Oreochromis niloticus: one gene and its partners. The protein of the gene in region 2 interacts with the protein of the main gene of each other region in a pairwise test. Links are inferred from orthologs where the notes say so. Each region holds a gene or a part of one and is shown on either strand. Other genes may lie near its edges.

What was found. The genes of interacting proteins can lie anywhere in the genome.
Region 1: the proteins of nuclear factor 7, brain (region 2) and poli interact in binary tests that used the Homo sapiens proteins (3 or more experiments, as listed by UniProt). The two-hybrid records come from large-scale screens. The link is inferred for Oreochromis niloticus from reciprocal best matches to the Homo sapiens genes TRIM39 and POLI.
Region 3: the proteins of nuclear factor 7, brain (region 2) and ubxn6 interact in binary tests that used the Homo sapiens proteins (3 or more experiments, as listed by UniProt). The link is inferred for Oreochromis niloticus from reciprocal best matches to the Homo sapiens genes TRIM39 and UBXN6.

What each region holds. Positions count from the first base shown.
Region 1 is NC_031977.2:28,645,210-28,652,552, forward strand, and holds the start of poli (DNA polymerase iota), read right to left. Parts: upstream 3,012-7,343; 5' UTR 2,815-3,011; coding exon 2,721-2,814; intron 2,601-2,720; coding exon 2,481-2,600; intron 2,394-2,480; coding exon 2,229-2,393; intron 1,158-2,228; coding exon 1,011-1,157; intron 815-1,010; coding exon 578-814; intron 252-577; coding exon 73-251; intron 1-72. Other genes in the region: RNA exonuclease 1 homolog, read left to right, coding at 3,241-3,394, 3,784-5,186, 5,275-5,370, 5,780-6,038, 6,499-6,854, 6,941-7,084, 7,179-7,293. UniProt on the Homo sapiens protein: Error-prone DNA polymerase specifically involved in DNA repair. Plays an important role in translesion synthesis, where the normal high-fidelity DNA polymerases cannot proceed and DNA synthesis stalls. Favors Hoogsteen base-pairing in the active site.
Region 2 is NC_031966.2:22,736,346-22,743,665, forward strand, and holds the start of nuclear factor 7, brain, read right to left. Parts: upstream 3,026-7,320; 5' UTR 2,839-3,025; coding exon 2,314-2,838; intron 1,573-2,313; coding exon 1,477-1,572; intron 1-1,476.
Region 3 is NC_031986.2:39,718,783-39,725,660, reverse strand, and holds the start of ubxn6 (UBX domain-containing protein 6), read right to left. Parts: upstream 3,012-6,878; 5' UTR 2,878-3,011; coding exon 2,795-2,877; intron 2,328-2,794; coding exon 2,170-2,327; intron 1,178-2,169; coding exon 1,113-1,177; intron 515-1,112; coding exon 386-514; intron 287-385; coding exon 189-286; intron 72-188; coding exon 1-71. Other genes in the region: uap1 (UDP-N-acetylhexosamine pyrophosphorylase), read left to right, coding at 6,176-6,458. UniProt on the Homo sapiens protein: May negatively regulate the ATPase activity of VCP, an ATP-driven segregase that associates with different cofactors to control a wide variety of cellular processes.

The DNA.
Region 1 (7,343 bases), on a different chromosome or scaffold from region 2:
AGCAGAAAAACTCATACAGCTACCTAACCCTAGCTTTCTTAGATACCGGGAATTTCAGATGTCCCAGCCTACCTGAGGGGCCCCAGTACAAGTGACAGGTGAGTCATCAACACCGAGGGCCAGATTCTTCAAACGCTGAGCAGTGGGACTCCCAAACTCCTTCACCAGGTCATTCAGCGGACACAGCTGCAGGTCTTTTACACTGACCAATCCCAGGGCTTGAAGTCTCTTAGCAGTTTGGTGACCCACCCCTGAGAATACAAGATGGCACCACAAAATATATCATCAGACATACTTAACACATGTGAGACACAACAAAAATGCATCAGTGAGTTTTGGATGAAAGCATCTTTAAAAATGCTCCAAATGTTAAGGACAACAGTGTAACAACTATAAGTCATTAAAACGTAACCCTTGTGGTGTCCTCGGGTCAAAAATGGTCCCTAGGTGAATGGCAAACAAGTATATGGGAATCCCGAGGACACCACACGGGTTTCTCGATGCATATCATGTTATGTACTTCTGTTCACCTACCTACCATCTACTGATGATTAACTATCTTTTAGAGCATCTATACCTGGCACTTTGCGGACACTGCCTAGGCAGCCCATGATGTCACTGATGTTTTCTGGGAGCAGAGTGGTTTGCTGGTTGGGTTTGAAGGTGCCTGAAACCAGTTTGGCTAGCAGCTTGTTTGTGGCGATGCCAGCACAGCCGGTCAGGCCCAGTTTGCTATGGACGGCTTCTCTGAGCTCTCCTGCAATGTGTGAACCTAAAGCCAACCTTGGGTAGTTACTGGCTTTAACATCTGCACCTGAACAGGAAGGGGAAAAACTGTGGGTATGAGCACACGTGATACAGTTTAGGATCTGCAGGTGAGCTGTTCATGAAGAACGAAACTGAAAGCACTATGCAAATATCTCACGAGTTTGAGCTATTTTCACGAGCCATTTCCCAGTTTCAGTGGGCCAGATGTACATCTACACTTGAGAAGCACGAATGTGACTTACTTGGATGATTGTAGACGTGTCCTTTAAATGAAAAGTCTTCAGACTTCACTGTCTGTGCAAGCCTTTGTTCTACCATCTCAGTGACGTCCATGAAGTTTTCATCAAATCCAAGCCTTTCCACGAGAGGACAATAAGACATCAGCAGCTCTGGATGGCAAACGAGAAAAGGTAAATATATACAAACGGTTATCAGATGAAAACATCAATTCCATTTACTCCATTTAGTTTCTAGTAACCACCCAGGAACACCAGGAGGGTGGTGAACCAAACAGTGGGTTAAAAACTGTTTACATTCTTGAGGAAAACAAATGCTGAAATGTAGAAATGGGAGATTTTAGCAGTTGAGTCAAAAAGGGTTGTTTTTATTATGAATTGTGGCATTTAAAAGTTGCCCAAATCATGATTTTCTTTAAGAGACCGACTCCAAAATTTGATACCTTGTTGCTTTAAGCAGCTCACTATTTAATTTGCTTGCTACAAGCTGAAAATAAGTCCATGTCATAGAAACAAACACTAGTCACCGGAGAAAAACGGCATCCCAGATAAACTTTAAGGGTCATGTCACCATCTGGCATAAATGGCTAGTCAAAAGAAGTTACAGCAAGGCCCTCTTGTTACCCACATCTCTCAGTCATGTGAAAAGTTTTTACAGGACTCTATGTAGCCCTGTAAAAAACTAAGCATACCACCACATGAATACCTCCATAGGAATTAAGAGGGTAAAGTACCAGCCAGGTGCTGCAAATCAAATGCAGGTGATTATTTTTTCATCAGCAAGTGTGACCACCTCTATAAAAAGCATTCAGCACAAATCAAGGATGACTTTTTTTTTTCAAAGCCAAAGTGGAAATATTTGGCTGTAAATCAAAGAAACAGCATATTAGCGCAAACACCTTATACCAGCTGTCAAGCATGGTGCTAATCTGGGCTTGTTTTGCAGCCACAGAACCTGAAAAGAAAATCTACAGCAGAATGGCTGAAAAAGAAAAGAATTAAGATGCTGCAGTGGACCAAAGTCCAACCTGATTGCTATGGTGCGACCCTAATCTCCATTTTTAGCACTTGGTCTGATCTTCCAAGCTTCTTTTATTGTAGCAACTACAATTACATTTTCTCAGAGTGCACTTTAATGTCATACTGCACACTACGACAAAAAAAATTACTTTATTTACTACAGAGCACTGTTGTCACGTCACACTGGTGTGATGCACTGCTTACCTGTCATTTTATATGACATCTCTCTGTAGTGCGTGAGGTCTTCTCCTTTAACCAGCACCAGCTCAGGACATTTCTCCTTAGCATCAGTCACAGACATAAGCTTGTTGACACCCCTCTCCCTTGCCACATAGTTACAGGTCACTATGATGTACTTCTGCTGTATACCTGATGATATGAGAGTCATTTAGAAGCTTTGGCACAAATATTTTTTACACTTTTGTCTTTTGCAGCTTTTATAGCATGCGAGTTTACCTAACGGGACTTCTCTCAGTGCAGGGTTTCTGATCATTTCCACCTGAGCATAGAAGCAGTCCAGGTCAAAATGCAAAATGACTCTGTGTGCAGGTACTGGCGTTTTACTGATGCTTGGTCCTGAAACACACATTATATGTACAACAGTTACCATATCTCGAACTCTGAAAGTCATATGAAAGCAAAGAGCAACTGTCAGATTTCAGTTTCAGACTGCCTAGCTTAAGTCTCCAAGTTTACCTGAAGCAGCAGCCGCAGGGGGGCTATGTGTCGATGAATCCACGAAACTGTTCCTCCACTCGTTTTCATCCTCCTCATCCTCGCTGTTTTCCATCTCAAAACTCGCAAATTTAATAAATTTTGCAGAAATATAGACTGCTACGACTACTGCTGCTGTTGTTGTCGTAATAGTTCTTTCATTGTAGGTCCCAATTCAGTTACGTGCAACGTTGCCGTCTCTCGACGTGGAGGGGTTACTGCAACGCAGCAACTACAAAAAAAAGTTTCTATAAATGCATTTTTTTTTTTAAATTTGCAAACATAATAAATAAAATCAAAATTTTTAAATGTTACGGAATAATGTGTTATTTGAGGGTATTAAAATGAGTTTTTCAACAGTCGTCACGCGACCTGAGCAGAACCTATATAAACGAGGCTGACGTCACCTGACGTTAATTTGGAGGCTCCAACTGCTAACGTCCGTTCGTTAATTATAAAAAAAAAAAAAAAAAACTGCGAAAAAAATTGCGCGAAGTGGCTAATGTTTCCCTCCTCGGGCTTTTTTGCCGGTATAAACTGCCCCTTCTCACAACATGGGCGTTGTGAGCGGCCTCACTGTTTATACAAACATCCTGCAAAGCAGGCGCGGGACTGGTTTGCTGTCTCATTTGAATCATCCAAAGTGGACTTCACAGGTGAGTGCTTCAACTATGCCAACTGACTTCGAACACTTGTGCATTAGCTTGCTGTTTTACCTGTTAAAAGGGTTTAATTGTTTAAGAAAACCCCCATAAACCCTGGGAATTATAAGAAGCTTTTAAATCGATTAAGAGGGTTTTTAAAGTTACAGGTGTAACATAAAAATTAAGCACATTATTGTAACTGCAGGTAAGGACAAGTGTTTTCTTAAAAAAAACTACCTTCTACCTTGTTTTCCTGAGTTCTACTTTCTCATTAAAGGGGCACGATAGGATCTTCACACATCATATAGCACAAAAACTGCTTAAAAACTAAACTGCAAATGATCAAGCTGCCACTTACATTTAAGTAAATACTTATCCTATTTCATGTTCACGTTGAACAGAAGGACAGAGGCCTTATACGGGCTGTGGAGATGACTGCCTTCATGAGCTGGAGCGGATCAACAAGGAGATTGAATCTGTAAGGCATGAGGTGGAGCAAGAGCGGAGGCGACTGTCACGCTACCAGACTGTACAGGCAGACCGCATAAACAACACGCCTGCTTCCAAGCGTGAGTCTGGGAGTAAAACTGTAGACAGAAAAGCTTATGGGCCATCGTCTCGCACAGATTTTACTAAAGCACACCAGCGAGGAAAGAAGTATGTGGTTGACAACTCAAAACCGAGGACTGATTTGGAGTATGACCCACTATCCAACTTCTCTGCAGACTTGCTCTCTCTCAGCTCATTGACAAAGGAGCAGAAGTTGAAAAGTAGACAAGTAAAAGACAAAAGTCCAGAAAGCACTGCCCCATGTATTGATAAAGAACCATTTGCGTATCAGGCACCGCTTTCCCGATCACCATCTCCGGAGCCACTTGATGTCTCTTCTGAAGGTGAAGACCTAATTATTGATGTTCCTCCTTCTCCTGAGAAAACGGGTCAGAGAACTGCTAAGTCTGTAGCAGGTAAATCCTCTCAGGTGACAGCAGTGGAGGTAAAGGGGGGGAAAAAAGAGCCTAATTTACCTAATTCTCCATCACCACACAATAAAATCACTCTGTCTTCATCAGATTCAAATAAAATTCATCATTATTCTGTTGAAAACAGTCAAGACTTACTGACTATAAGTCCTGCCAAAGAGTCTGAAGATCTAAAAAATGGTGCCAATGTAGTGGACTTAACAGATAGTCCAGACGACCTTGCAAATGAATGTCAAAAAATTACTAAAGCAGTATTGGAGAAGATCCCCAAACAACAAGATCACAACCTGAACAATCCTCAGTGTGAGCTGCCCAGTATCTTTGAGAAAATGAATCCGCAGAAGACGCCCATGAATTTACTTTTTTGTAAATCTCCAGCTGCTAACTCATCACGCAGGCAAGTGCCTCAGGACAGAGTTCAAAGTCACAGGTGTTCTGAGAAAAGTACACCCTCAGCGGTGATGGGAAACCAGAAAAAGTCAAGCAAAATGTCAGGACAGACACAGGGAATAGCTGCTGACGGTGATAAGTTGCCTCTAGAGCAAGCAGAACAAGGGTCAGAGAACAGTGAGTTTGAGGGTCGGCATGTTTTGTCAACCTATGTCAGCTCACAATTCGGAGCCGAACCGTGTTCTGAGCAGAATTTGGTGATGGTAAATGATGAAGAGGTCATACTAATCAACTCCAGCTCTGATGAGGAGGAGGAAGGGCCCAACCATTCAGCAGTGGAGCTCTCAGACAGCGACCCAATGGAGGAATGCTACAGGATCTTCATGGAGGCAAACAATGAGGGAAAAGGAACTGAAGAGACTCCTAGTGCATGTGTAAGTAGCCTGTAGAAACTGCAAATTCATTATGAAGAAATTCTTTTGAGAATGTAAAGATTTTTTTCTCTCCCCTTGTATTTCTTAGTTAGGGGCTGTGGATGCAGAGAAGATGGAGGTAAATGTCACATCCAAGGGATTACCAGGAAGGAAAAGAGTGGCTCATGAAGCCAAACAAACAGAGGTACGTACAGTCCAGTCTCATAGCAAAATGTGTGTTTAGACAGGAGATGTCCTTTTTTTAAAATTTTTATAATTTGTTTTAAACTAATGCAATCCAAAACAGTTTTTATTGCCTAAACAGTATTTTAATACCCACGCTACAAGAGTTTTTAATAATGATAAAGAATTTTAATTGAATAATGTATTAAAAATAATATGACAGAAATGTGAAAAAATCACCATGCTTGGCAGATGAAAGGTCACCCTCAGGAAGATTAAAAAGTAGCGTTGGACATTTATGTCCGTAATGACTCACTAGAAGTCGTGGCCTTTTTTAAGATCTGCTGTGACATGATGTAATTTGACTAATCTTTACCCAGGATTGCATAATCAAAATTAAGCATGTGTTTTGAATGACCTCCTCTGTGCAGCAGCCAGTAGCTAAGAGCAGGCCTCAGCCGCAGGTTTTGGTTCCACTCTGTGAGCCAGTAACTTCAGGATTTGGCTCTAGATCCTCTGTCAGTTCCAAAACCCAGCAGGTTCAGCAGAGAGCTTCCACTCTGACTGCCTCAGTTAAAGGTGGGCAGGCTTTTGTTTCCTCCACCTCTCAGAAGAAACCAGAGACCCAGTTTTCACCTTCTGTTTTAACTCAAAACCCTGAAACCCTGCAGCCCGCTCCTGTGCGCAATGGTAAGTATCGGTTGGCGGTAGTAGTGATGATTGTTTAGTTCTTAGACACATTAAAAAAATTAAAAATGCAAGAGCATGATAATGTGTAAATGAAATTGGATTAGATTCAGATCACTGTCATTGAGATAGTATAACTCAAAAAATGAAATGCAGTTTGGCATCTAATCTGAAGTGCAACCAATGTATGTACATATGTATATACAATAATATATACAAAAACCATTCCAATAAACGAAAGCACTTCATTTAAATTGTATTTTTGTGTTTGATATAGAAAGTTTTATCACTAAAGCATACCTGTATTGCTCTATGTAGCTCTAGCAGCATTTCCAAAATTTCTGTGCAAGTTTGCATCTTGTGTATTTTTTCTTTTTTAATTGGCACAGTACAAGTAAACCATGTCTAGTATGAGTATGCTCTTAGTAGCTTTTCCTCAGTACACATTTTTTCTGTTCTACAGCTTTTGTGAACTATATACCTTTGGGACCAGCTGTTATTGAAGTGGGCAACAACTTGCATTTGATCCTTCCAGACGGTGCCTTCCCTGTGCCCATTTCTTCCAATTCCAATCCAGTTACTCCAGTTTTAACTCCAATAAATCAGGTTCACACAAGGGCCCTTGCTATCAAACAAACATACCATCCACATGCAGTTACTCCTATGCATCCTATGCAGCGATGCCGCCTGACAGCACCAATGCTCATTCCTGCTGTTGCACGCAGACCTTTACTAAACTCTACTTTTACATCTGCATCTTTACGTTCAAGTTCAACTATTTCTACTGTTCCTCAAAGTTCTGGTCAAGCTTCTGCAAAGGTAAGAACTTCAACTAAACCTGGATCGTCAGTACTAGTTAAATGCTTAACCCGCTTGATAAATATTAAGTGGTTCTGTCCCCACAGCCGTTGCCTGCTAAACGAAAACTGAAGCAGCAGTGTGAGGCTGCCAAAGACAAAGTGCCCCATGATGTCAGACAGCGGTATGTCAACATGTTCACAGAGGAGTTCCTCAAAACGACACCCAATGTTAATGATGCCTTTGAAAAGGTAAACATATGCCACCATCTCCTCATGAACAAACCCTAGTGTGGAAAGAGAAACATGTATGTATTTATTTTTTCTCTGATCTTTCTGTTGATAGGCTCTTGCTGAAGAGAAGACGGTGTACAATCGGAGTGCGAACAAGCTCAAATATATGAGTGTTGCAGTGAATGCACTCAAGAGGCTGAAGAGTCAAAGCACTGTTGCTACTAAAGGTGAGCACTTCATGGAAAAAGCTGTAGGAAATGTTCTGTTTGAAAAATAT
Region 2 (7,320 bases):
GGCTCCAGTATGGTTACTAACTAGTTACTAACTTTGCCTGTCAGTGCTTAGTAGGTAAAGCACAGCTGATTTGTAAAACGTTTTTCTTTTTTAAAGCAATAGCAAGACTCTAAAATGCCCCTTAAAGCTGACAGAAACCAAGTCTGTCTTCAAAATGCTTAACTGCTTTAGAGTTTGTATGATAACGATCTCTGAGTCTTTTTAAGCTCTTCCTGGGGTGGAAAAATACCGAGCTATGCTGTGACAAACGGTGGGGTTCAGTTTTATTTTGTCACATTTGAAATTTTTGTTACATGTTTTTGTTTTAATAGGGTTTTATTATTACAGAGTTATTACTATTTAATAAATATATATATTTTTTAAACTGTTGCATGTCAGTGAAAATGATGACACACTTACTTCTCATTGACTGTAATGGTGTGACACTAAAACTGGATGTGTCCTATTTTACTGTTATTGTTGCATAAAATTATATTTTTTCTTCTTCTCTGGAAATATGACTACAATCTTATATTCAATAGATTAAATCAACAACTTTACACTGTGACTGTTCAGACCAGAAGTGGTTCATGAAATGGGAAAAATCAGTAATTGTTATGAGGAGACGATACATTTTATGTCATGTGGCACAAATGATTATATCGATCGATAGATAGATAGATAGATAGATAGATAGATAGATAGATAGATAGATAGATAGATAGATAGATAGATAGATAGATAGATAGATAGATAGAGGTATGTCTGCATTTTTAACACAGAGAAGAAAAAGTGACAAACTTCCTCTGCTCTACCACATCCTGTCATACTGACAGAGAAAGGGAGAAGTGAAGAAAAAAAAATCTGTGAATCTGCATGTAAACTGGGTCAAACAGACAGACAGGAAAATACACCCGCTGACACATTTAAACACACAGATAGTAAAGGAAACAGTCTGTAATAACCTGGAGCAGAGCTAGACGAAGTTATCTGCCACTGCAGAAATGCTCCAGTGCATTCTCTAACACTACCCTCATATCTGTGTTTAACACACACAGCGAGTGTTTCGGTGAACTCCTTCCTGTGCCTGTCGAAACTCTATCAGCTGAGTTCCCTCGCAAGCTGTGTGACATGAAGCAGTTAGGGCACATGAATGGCAAAAACATGTGAAAGAAGAGCGCATGACGAAGACAAACACAAAATGACGTGTGTGAATGTTCATGAACCTCCCTTTTTATTCCAGGATGAGCTCCTGATAATTATCACGTCTAAACAAAGATGAGTAAGAACATGGTGTGTCACCACCAGTCGTTAGTACCACCAGTCATTACTACTGCCAGTCATCCCTCTGTCTTGACAGGTAAAGGTGGAGGAATGCGTCAGAATGTTGCCTGGCCGCTAGAATTTCTGGTTATATTTAGAGGACAAACACACTGGCGTGTTTTTCTTTCACAGTGCTTCACAAAGAAACAGCCAGCACACACAGAGACACGATACCTTAATGAGGAGGATCTTTTCATTGGTCTGTTTTTGGAAGAGTGTGGCCTCCTCTGTCTGCACCTGAACCCTCTCCAGAGCCACAGACAGCTTTTCCTGCAGGACAAACAGATAATCACATAAAAACGTTTGTTGAAAAGAGGTTATATAAACCAGATTACGCTTCAATCAACAGTTAATTTGATTCGTGCATCAGTCTGAACAGCGTCCCGTCTTTAATGGGAGTCATACATCCGCCAATCCTCAACTGAGCGCCCTGACCCCAAAAATCTAACAAAGCTGGAATTTAGCACTGCTTAAACATGTTAAGACACACAGAGAAGCCTCTCAGAGCAGGTTTCCAAACAACATGATGAAGGTCAGCTGCCAGGTTTGAAAGGTAGTGAAGTTCACACAGGTCTGCTGAATTCCTGTAATGCACAAAAATACCCAAAGACTCCTGGGGCAGACAGGGAGTGTGCTCTTTAAAGCACAACTGCTACATCTATGAAAAGCCTGTTTGCTACATTAGAGCAGTTGAGGGGTTTTTTTAGTAAAAAAGTAGTTTTGACATGACTTAAAGGAATACTTGAAACTTGAGAGGGAATACAGTACTGCAGTACAATAAGAGGAGTGTCCAGTTGTAAGCATTGTAAAGTATGACACTCCTTGAAACTCTGATTCCTTGTTTTATCTAGAAGCTCCAGCTGTTACACTGTAGAGCAGAAAAAATACAGTGGAAAAAGAAATCAAATTTGGTGATTATGTTGGTCAAATCAAAACATTGTCTGTATATGTCTGATTTAAGGTTTTGGAAGACCCGGAGCCTTAAAAAATGAGCCAATAATAAAACAGTACCCTGTAGTTTTCAAAAGCCTCTGTAATGGGGATGACATTGTGGCTCTTGTGGTCTCGAGACATTCCGCACACTAGGCAGATGGGAAGCTGGTCGTCCTCACAGTAGAGCTTCAGCTTCTCCTCGTGTTCCTCGCACATATCCAAACCCATTCCCAGGCGTGGCCAGTGCCCGATGGACGAGGCCACGCTGCTCATGCTCGAACCCCGCTCGCGGTCCTCGGGCATCTCCAGTGTACCTTCGTGGTCCCACACGCACATCCCCGAGGCCGCGTCCATGGCGCGGGCTCTGCGCACACTATCCACGACGTTGCACAGGAGCGAGTTGGGTCGCAGTTTCCGGGCGCACGACTTTCTACACTTCGGGCAACTCGAGAGTTCGTCCGCCTTAGCTTCCCAGCACTGGATGATGCACACCTGGCAGAAGTGGTGCCCGCACTCAAGGATCACGGGATCACGGAAGAGTTCCAAACACACCGGGCAGGTGAGCTCCGACTGTAGCTCTTCAAGCGCGCTGGCCTCCGCCATCCTCTGCTACGCTCATACTTCTCAGAAGACACGTCTGTGGGAAACACTGTAACGGGGAAACAAGACTAAACTGCTCTTCCGTTCAAATTCAGGGAGGGAGTGGTCTGACGCTGACAGCAGTACGACTTTTTTTCACGGAAGAGGCCAAAGGCGTGTAGAAACAGGCTCGACTGGGCGTGATGAAGGGCTCCATTAAAGGGCGCGGTGTGTTTATGATTGCCCAGAGCGAAAGAGGGTTTCTTAGAAAGAACAGTAACAAGAAAGGTCACGTTATTGCTGCGAGGAAATATATGCGGAATTTTTAAAAGGGGGTTGTACCAGGAACAAATTGGCTGACTTGTTGGTTTATAAGTTTTAAATTATTAAACACTTACAGGAAATAAATCAGAAACGTGTGAGCTGAAACTTCTGTGTAGTAGGTAAAAGACACAAACCCAAAAGTGATTTCCCGTATTTGCCAAAAAACGATCGCAAAAAACGATTTAAACAGCTCTGAATAAGTTGTTGGCCTATAAACTCATACAAACCTATCTCTCTCTGAGGATATCAAGTCATTTTGAGACAGAAACGACATTCCTGTCACAATCTGCAATTAATCTTTGGCAGAGTTACTTTTATTTGTTCTTTATTTATCCAGCAAAAAAGTCTCACTGACATTAAAAATGTAGTGTTTTTTAAAGATCTTGCCAAGAAGGCAGCATAAATTGCAACAATTATGACATCACAGCTCTATAAAGATGTTTTAAGTGGCCAAAAGGGGCTGGATTCATTACAATGTAGCTACAATAACGCAGAAATACTTTTACTAATTTCTATATTTTATGTATAATCTCTTCTTAAATCCTGTTGATCACAGTCTATTTATAAATATAAGTAAAGACATTAAACATGGAAACATACAGAAAGATGGAACAACAGTTGGAACAACACCCATCTCAGACAGAATTGAAAGCATTTACAGGCTTTTGAAGATTGAAACTAAGTTTTGAAGCCTTGAAATGCATTTGAGTTTCCTTCTTCACAAATACATCACAGGTTTTACCCTACATGTTTTCATAGTGTCGGTGTAATCAAGTCCCATTAATGGCATTTATGGATGTGACTCTATTACACTGTAGAGGCGCAGCTACTTAATATAGACAACACTGAATAAATTTGTGTTAATACTCATGTAAGAGAGCATTAGCGTACATGTATAAGGGCTCTTTAATTTGGCCTTTAATTGGGCTTTAAATTAAACTTGTCTCCCCAGGTAATCCCCAAGAACACACACACACACACACACACACACACACACACACACACACACACAGCCTTTGAGTCAGCAAAGCATGACACAGAGCAAGGAAGAAGGGAAGGGAAAGTAGCTGACACCAAGAAAAAAACCCACTCTTGCCAGCGTTCTTCAATTAAACTTATATCCCTGCCTGTCTATGGATTACACTTTATCATGCTAATGCAAATAAAGCCTTATTAGTCTCAGTCAATTTTATACACTTTGCATAATTAATTTCAGGGTCATGTAGGTCATCCTGCCACCTGCTGTTGTTCCTCTGAGTGCTCAGTAGATGGCCCTGATGATCAGTCTACCAGGTGCATTTTTAAGATAAGGACTGACGCAGTATTTGCTCCTTTGCTCCTGGATTTTTCCTCCAGACATTAAATTTGAGACCAGCTTGTTGTAAACTGTATCCATTTCATAAATTAACTATCAGAATATTTTTGGGGGGAGGCGATATATTAAATATTATAACAAGTTTTCCATTCTGGTGGTTTTCTCATGAATATTAAAAACATTTTCTCAACAAATGGTTTCAATCCTAAGATTATTTAGGGGTTTCTCAGAGAGGTGAGATTACGTCTAAACTTTTGTGTGCCCAAAAACTCAAACAGCTTGTGAGTCTTCTTCTTCTTTCCACTTCTCCCTTTAGGGGTCGCTACAGTAGATCATCTGCCTCCATCTCACCCTGTCATTAGCATCCTCATCTGCTACATCATGCCCTCCTTTCTAATCCAGAGAAAATCTTAACATCTTTAAATCTTCCACCTGTCTTTTTGTTAGTGCCACATTCTCCAAAGCATACATCATAGCAGGTCTTCCTACCTTCTTGTAAATCCTCCCTTTCATTCTTTCTTCTATCATGTCACAAATCACACCTGAAGCTTGTCTCCGCCCACTCCACCCTGCCTGCACTCCTTTCTTCCCCTCTCTTGTGGACTGTCCACTGCTTTGGATCATTTATCTTAACTTCCTCTGCTTTTTGGTGCTTCCCCATTACACCCGTCTCCTTACACACACACCTATTCTGTCTCGCTTTTACTGACTTTCATTCGTCTTCTCTCGAGAGCATACCTCCACCTAGGCTGTCTTCCACCTGCTCCCTACACCCGTTGTCAAAGGAGACTCCAGACTTCATCTGTCAGCCTGTCCATCACCATCTTAAGTAGGAAGGTCAGTTCCCTGACGTAATGCCATCCCCACATTTCACTCATACCTCACACCTCACCACTGTCTCGCTGTCCTCATACATGCCCTCCACCACTTCTCTGCCACTCCTGACTTCCTCCTGCAGTCCCACAGTTCCACTCTAAGCTCCCTGTCATGTGCTTTCTTTAGATCCACAAAGACACTGGTCTTTGTACTTGTATACTTCTCCATAAACACTCTGAAAGTAAATATGGCATTTGTAGTTTTTGTTCTGCATTTGTGTGTGTTCTGTGTTTATTTTTCACTACACCGTAACATCCTGCATTTCTGTAGAAACAGAACAATCATGGCTAGATGTAGAGGCAGCGTGTTTCATACGTTTAAAATCCTATAAATCATAGAAAACTGAAACCAGTAAATATGACATTTTCCCAATGCCCACAAATGCTGTAGATAGTGAGAGAGTAATTCCATGAGGTTTGATGGCTGAATGATACCAAGTAATATCCGGCCAGGCTTACTAAAACCAGAATCAATATGTATATGTAATTTCATTAACTCTATTTATTTTATAGCACCAAATCACAAGGACAGTTGGCGACAGTGGGAAGAAAAAACTCCCTTTTAATGAGAAGAAACCTCCAGCAGAATCAGGCTCAGGGAGGGACAGCCATCTGCTACAACTAGTTGGGGTGGGGGCTGAAAGACAGAATGAGGACACGTTGTAGAAGAGTGCCAGAGATAAATAACAACTAATGATACAATGCAGAGAGGTGTAAACACATAGTGAGTGAAAAAGGTGAATGAACAAGAAAGAAGTGCATCGTGGGAATCCCCTAGCAGCCTAGACCTAGTCCATTGTAACTAAGGGAGGTTTCAGGGTGACGTGATCTATCTGCTATATCAAAAAGAAAGGTTTAATACTAATCTTAAAAGTAGAGAGGGGTTCTGCCTCCTGAATCCAAACTGGGAGCTGGTTCTACAGAAGAGGGGCCAGGAAGCTGAAGGCTCTGCCTCCTATTCTACTTTTAAAGTAAAGTAGTCAGGCAGTGATAATCAAATGCATTTAACTGACTGATCATCAGTAAGTATGACCGCCTCTATAAAATCAGAGGTTTGAACAAGTTTGTCTTTTTTGGAAGGACTATCGGGAGAAAGCCTCTTTGCTCTAAAAGAACATGCACCCATTTTTGTGATGGCTGGGTCATGCAATAAAACAATGATCCCAAGCACAGCAGCAAATCTATAACAGAATGGCAGAAAAACAAAAGCATCAAGATATTGCAATGTCCCAGATGGACACAAACCGTCTTCCTTACAACCAACGCTGTAAAGAAGAGTGGACCACAATTCCTCCACAGTGATGTGAGATGCTGATAAAGTCATACAGAAAACCATTACTACTTCACAGAACCAGTAGCTTGTAGAAAACAAACTTTCCTTTCACATGTAAGTATCAGGATGTTTTTCATTTAGATGTGTGAAAAGTATCTAATCTGTAGTTTTCTGCTGTGACCATGGTTTCTTTCATATTTTTTGTTTTTTCTGCATTCTGACAATTCCTAAATGTAGTGAATCATAATTTTTTTATTAAAAAAAATGACTAAAATGGAGAATTTCCCCACAAATTGAGCACTTAACAAAATAAAGAAGCCACATACTGGTAGCAAACATTTGCTATTTTGGCAATTGAGAAATCGGGGAAGCTCTGTGAGGAGCTTTTTTTGTCTTTCAGAAACCTTCTGGTTCTGACATCAAGCGGAGTTTTGATGACAGAAGGAAAAACCAATGAGACAGAAAGAGAAACAGAAACATTTCACAGCATATGATTACATTAATACATCATTTGTCAAATGACTGTCAATAAACACCTGATGCTGCATTAAACATGTGCTGGAGCTGGTTTAGGACAGTGGTAACAGAAACGGGTGTTTGGTTTTCATTATGAATCATTGCATTTCACACCGCTCTGCCTCAAACGAGATACACATCTCAAAGTTTCCCATGATGTTTCTTTTTTTAAGGTACAAAGTGTAATAAGGGAGATTCTCCTG
Region 3 (6,878 bases), on a different chromosome or scaffold from region 2:
ACACTTTGTTGTTGAGTTTAATTTTCCTGTATTTCTCTTCTGTGGGGTTCTTGCATATATTTTCAACATATCTGGAAACAAAACAATGACAACAAAAAAACCTTTGATGTCTAGAACAGATATTCAAAATCTGTGACAACAGCATAAAACATTTACATATGTAATTAACATAACCATCAGCGTCTTACTTGCTTATGATGTCCACCGCAGCCTTCACTTTCTCTCTGTCTTTGTTAAATGTGTGCATCATCATAACCGACGCCTCGACTTCATCTTCCTCAAACCGCTGCAGTCAAAAATGGCATGTTTATCAAAAGCACCAACGAGATTAGCATTCAGTCTGACTGCACACACGTTATAACTGAACCAACATCCTCAGACATACCATTAAAATGGCCTCTTTAATGTGTACTTCCCTCTCGCTCTTGGTTAATGTGGCTCCAGTTAGTGGACAGATGAAATAGACACCTGATACTGAGAGAAGGGTGGGATCTTTCACTGGCACTTTGGAGCCCTGGGAGGAAAATGTCATTCAGTGTTGTTAGATTCAGTGATGAAATTTTCATCCACACCAACAGGCCACCGCTATTACTCTGAATTTAATACAGCTCACATGAATAGCTGGCTCCTTTTCTCATATTCTCAATTAGGCCTCACTACCACTGACAAGCATAAAGGGTTTTTTATGCATATAAAAAAAAATTGGTGCCCATAAAAAAAAGAAAGTTCTGGCTTTTCAACTAAAGAAAACCACCAGGATTGTGATAAAAACATTTTAGTACTGAACAGGTTTAAGGTAAATAAGGGAAGACTAAAACAAAAGCCCACTGTCTGGCTGGAGAAAGTCACCTACTTTCCAATATTATGAAACTGACATTGAGATGAACAGCTGTCTGCACCTATGCTGCCCTTTTTGACACTGGACACTGTATGATAGGCTGTGTATAAACAGGAATATTCACTTTAATCAGCCGTGAAAACAGCTTATCAGGAATACTGTCTTCTTCAAAGTGAAAGAAAAAATGGAAATATTTTATGAAGTTAAGCACAGTCGATGTGAACCAAAATTAGCATGAAAATTGTGTCACAATTCTGGTTTATGCAACACTTACCTCTGCTGCAGCTGCCTTTTCTTTTTCAGCAAGTGCAGCTGCCTCGGCCTCGAGTTCTCTTTTTACTGCAAGCACGTGTAGAAAACAACCGTCATAACCAGAATATATTTGCTTCATCAGTGTAAAACAGTATCTAATCATATCTACTTTCCGTGGACTTCACAGGTTTAGCATCTTAACATAAACATAAAGATTATGTACTTGACACATTTTTTCCCATGAATACAAAAACAATGATTTTTAAAAATAAATACTTCTTTGATTCAGGGACGTTTTGCTACCTCAAGTGGAAGAATTTAAATATCTGAGAAGGAAGCAAGAGACTGACAGACTTCTGCAGTGATGCAGGGTGAAGAGAGAGCTGATCAGTGGTCACAAGTTCTGGGTAATGACTAAAAGAATGACACTGTGGATGCACACCTTGGACAGTAGTTTTCTCCGAAGGGTAGCTGGCCTCTCCCTTAGAGACAGGGTGAGGAGTTGATTTGTGAGGGACTCAGAGTAGAGCTGCTCCAAACAACTGAGGTTGTTCGGGGATCTGACTAGTACGCCTCCTAGGTGAGGTGTTCTGGGCATGTCCTACTGGGAGAAGGCCCCAGGTAACACGCAGGACATGCTGAAAAGATTGTATCTCTCAGCTGACCTGGGAACACCTGTGTTCCCCCTAAATGAGCTGGAGGAAGTGGCTGGGGGGAGAGTCTGGGCTTCTCTGCTTAGGCTGCTGCCCTTACTACCCAGCCTCAGTTAAACAGCAGAAAATGAATGGATGGGTGACTTCTTTGATGATGTGGTTTTTCAGAGGTAATAAATGTTTCTGGTGTCTGTTCTTTCATAGATGTACTGGATATATTACAGTAGCAGATAATAAATTTAGAAGATATGACTTTTTTTAACTAGATCAACTGTAATAATCTGTAGAGTGCTTCAGAGTCTAAAACATGTTTAAATACCCACAACTGAATTATCCTAATACCCACAACTGAAACAAGGAGGCTGACGTTCATCTGTGTTTGAACTGAGACACCGCCTGGTGTAATAACAGGGCTGCATGTCTCACCCTGGGTCCTAATGGCGTCCTGGGAGGTGTGAACCTTCGGCTTCTGATGCTGTTCAATCCTGGCCAAGGCTGCAGCTCCAGCCCTCTGGGCTCCTTCACTGGGGGCATGCCGATCGTGCTTGCTACTGGATCTACCCTGCACCACCTCAGGCTTGGCACTGTAGGGTTATTAGGAGAGAAACAGCACTATAAGAGGAGACGTGTTGTGGCTTCACAGTAGGAAGAAGACAGTGCTAAGCTAAGTAGCAACGACAACAGTACAAATACGTCAGAATCACAGCAGCTCTGCTTCCTGTTGAGAAGCAGGTTTGCTTAGTCCTTTATCTAAACAAGCTTGTGCAGGGATTAACTGTTAGTCAGGTTACCCTGAAATTATACAGTCGCCTCCCGCCGTGCTCAAGATTATATAACAGTTAGCCGTTTGACGCACAACCGTGAGAAAAACACACACAAATTAGCACTGTTGTGGTTAGCTTCAATACATGGGGAGACGGAAAAGCGGTACTCATTACTGACCAACTGTCAGCTATGAGATAAGCCCGTTTAGCCGATGTTAAATAGCTATCTGTACGGCTAGCTTTGCTTAGCGCTGTAGCAGCTGAGAAAAGAAAAGTTTGTTATTTGCCTGGTGTCTTCCGTTAGTTTCTTCCCGGGTCCCGCGGATTTAAATTTGATGTCTTTCTTAATGTCATCGAAAAACTTCTTCATTTTCTGTAGCCGCACAAAAATCTGACCACCAGGGAAAAACAAACAGATGGGCAGCACCCAGCCTGGTTTTAGCGAGGAAGAGGAGGACCACAACAAAATTGTTTCAAATGAGAACAAACTGCTTCCGCCTCATCAGGAGAGACGGTCGCCCCCTCGTGGTTGAACTCAGAAGTGAAAGTCCAACCATTCCAGATCAGTGGTTCGTGTTTTACAAGGCAACTTTTTTATAATTGACCTTTTTTTTTTCTTTTGTTTGTTTACATGTACTTCCATGTTCTCAGAAATTTGTGCATATTACCCTAGTATTGACTGGCTCAAAGGTCAGCACAGAAATTGGTTTGTGTTGATTATCGTTTTAAAATTAAGTGTTTTAATCTTACAATTAGATTTAGAACTAGTCTATTAACAGACTATTGTGGCTATTTTTTCAGGTCAATGAACTGAACTGAAATGAGTATACAGTATCAGCTGGGTGCTGCTGATAATCATCCAGTCTGACACCTGGCATTATCAGAGCAGCCCCCTCTAACTCTTTAGGTGTCTGAGGATTCTGGATTTGGGAGCCTGACAGGATCCTATTTGGAGCTGCTGTGTTGTCAGCCATGGACTCTGTCACCAAACAACAGTCGGGTTTTGTGCCAACGTTTCAGCAGCTGGATCATACAGCTCTCAAGGCTGCTGCTGAGAGCTGTATGAAATAAGCTATTCTTATTTCTGTTAATGATAAGAGACAATAATGATTTGGGGTCAGCAGGGCTGCTGCCATCTCATTTCTGTAGCTATCTTTTGTGTGTGTGTGTGTGTGTGTGTGTGTGTGTGTGTGTGTGTGTAGGGGGGGGGGTTCAATGTAAGTTTTTTTTAGGACGTGCATGAAATAATTAAAGGGTAATACATGCTTTCTCTTCAGATAAACACAATTCATATGCTAATTGTTAGAAAATGAAGATAAACACACACACACACAAGTGGAGATATGTACATTAGCTGGTTCATTGAAGCTGACTGCTCTGTCTCTACCTGTCTGATGGTTTACCTTTGATTACATTCATAAAGCTGTTAAAGACTATCAAAGACTGTTAAAAACAAGTAGAAATATTTTGCATTTTACATGATTTGAATACAATATTTATAGTGAAAAATCATGACAAGTAGTATGACATAAAGCGTGCATGATTCAAAACATGTCAGCAAATGCAGATATATCAGAAAAAGAAGTGCATTTTCATCTCTTTATTAAAGAATTAAAAGAAACTGTCAACATATCTCTTTGGGCTCAGTAGGCGAAGCCATAAAATTTATATAAATAAAATTTACAAAAATACAGTTAGTCGTTCATTTTGCTTCACATTTTCCAAAGCTGTCCAGAGGTAATAAGAGTCTTTGCTGGTGTGGTGCAAAAAAACCGATTAGCTATATTTAAAATGCTGTACATGACTTGTTGCAATATAATCTGACAAGAAAATTTCAGACATGTTTCTCAAACATGATTTCAAGACAAAATAAAAGCTGTGATCAGTTTTTGGCAAGGGGACTTGTATATATCCTTCATTTATCCTGGTAAAAAGGGAAATTGACGTCAAAAATGTATTTTTCAAGAAAGATGTGCCCAAGAGGGCAGCAGAAATGGCAAGAAATGGTTATCTCAAGATATTTTAAGTGGCCAAAATAGAGTGCTGTGATTATAAAATAGGTAAAATCAAGAAAGGTTCTTGCAAAACAGGCCATGTCTTTATTTTATATATAACCTTTTCAGAAATCCTATTGACTACAGTCTATTTAACAATATAAGCAAATATATTACATAGATAGAAAACAGTTTTTGGCACAACACCTGACAGATTCTGGCTCCCGTGCCTTTTTTCCCCCACACTCCTAGCATAGAGTGATTAAATTTACAGGTGGCACTTGAACGCATCTCTGACTTGGCTACACATACACACGCGCACACTGATGCCACGTCAAATGTGACGTAGCAGGAGGTGTATTCCGGGAGGGAGGCGTATAGTGACCAGTGCGAGCGAGTAGTCATCGATTGGCATTAATGATCTTACACCGGAGAGGAGTCTTTGTGAGAGGTAAGAGTTAAATATTTGATTTACTTCTATCTGCTATGTGTACAGCGAGCCGAGCGGTTTCCCGCTCCTCAGTCGGGCGGATATTTGCTAACATGTGCCCGGCTGTAGCTTGACTGATGCGCAGACCGCGGCTAACTATCATATACAGTGACTGAAAATGTGGTTCACTAAATCTACGCGCTTCTTAGCAACAGTCTGTATTATTACACTGTGCTAACACTGGATTTATCTGTGCTCCGAGTCAACACAGCAGTCCCTGCTACCTCTTTACAGGCTCAACGTCGCGGTCATGCTGGAGACGTGAAGTTTAAAAGTTGTATGAACACTTTAACTATAAGTGATATATGAATATTGTGTATTACAGCTGTAGATAGTTCAGGGTGTGTGCCTGTGGTGTTAGTCGTCAGCATCCCATTGGAAAGCTCACTTACAGAGGAGGTTTCTTTGGTGTAAACCCTCTTAGAAAACATCGCGGGTTCATAATATCGCGTTGTGACACAGCTATTATTTTACTGTTGTAATTATCAATCATAATAAGCAAACATATTGGGTATAAAAGAGTCAGTATTCACACTGTGGTATAACATGAAACTGTCCTCGACCTTATCCTTTAGTGTTGTGATGACTTCCTGTCAAATGTGGGTGTGGAGTCAAACAAATAGGATAAGCATTCCAGCAGTGCTTGTTTTACCAACACTACAACTAGCACAGGGCTATAAGATACTCTTATCATGTTTCACTTTAGGCACATTGACTATGTCATCAGTTTTTTTTTTTAATCCTAAATTTGTTTTTATATACACATACAGTTTCTTGGGAGCTCAAAATGAGCTTTTAGTGGTAACTGTGCCAATAAATATGACTGGTCCACATGAATTTTTTGGAAAGAGTCTGTGTTACCTTATCTAACAGATTATTTCTGCAATTTTTTGTCAATTTTACTTCAAAAAATGTATTTAAGGGTGAATAAAACCTCACTGTTTAAAAAAAGCTACAAGTATTTTTAATAAAGTCCTTGCGGAAGGCCAGATCTATATGTGGGGAAAAACCCTGCAAATGTTTGGATATTGTAGTGTGACCTTTCTCTTATCATCTCTTTTTTTATATTTACATAAAGGCCACCGGCTTATACAAAAACAACACGAGACCTGGGGCATTTTTTGCAGTTCTTTTTAAATAACATAATCTTTTTTTCCCACAGTTAATTAAAAGCACAGGTGATCATGGACCCAAACATCAGCGCACTCAGGCAGAAGCTGGCTGACGCCGGCCAGTCTCACCTCCTGCAGTTCTGGAACGAGCTGAGCCCTGAAGAACAGGCCGAGTTGACCCAAGAACTGGAGGGTATGGACTTTCAGGAGATCAACGGATTCTTCAAGAATGCCATGCAGACATCCAACAGCAGCAAACAAGGGAAGATGGACTGCCGCATGGAGCCGGTGCCCAGGGAGGTGCTGGGAAGTGTGACGAGAGACAGGGAGAGCGTCAAAGACTGGGAGTTGACAGGTGAAGTATATTCTCACCTATTTACTGCTTTTGACCTTTAAACTGTACTTACTCGGTATGCTGAGTGCTTTAAGGAAACAGAAAGCATTAGAATTGGGAGTATTTAGTTTTAATGAGAATATGTAAGCTATTATCACTTGTTAAACAAGATTCTCCTAGTTACTGCAAGCACATTTAACACAATGAAATCTTAACAGTGATGACCTGCAGGTAAGAGAGGAAAGCTTAACCGGTATCAGACTGGGAAGCTTAAGTGGATTAAAACATCACATGGGTAACCCAGCTGGATGAATAGTTGTTCTCATGGCAATATTTTTAAGTGTCCACATCCAGATGTTAGCTCGCAGAAAAACAGCCCATTAGATCAAAACTTTTGCAAAAGCTTATTACAAAGTTCTAGTCATGCTGCGTCAGAAGCTC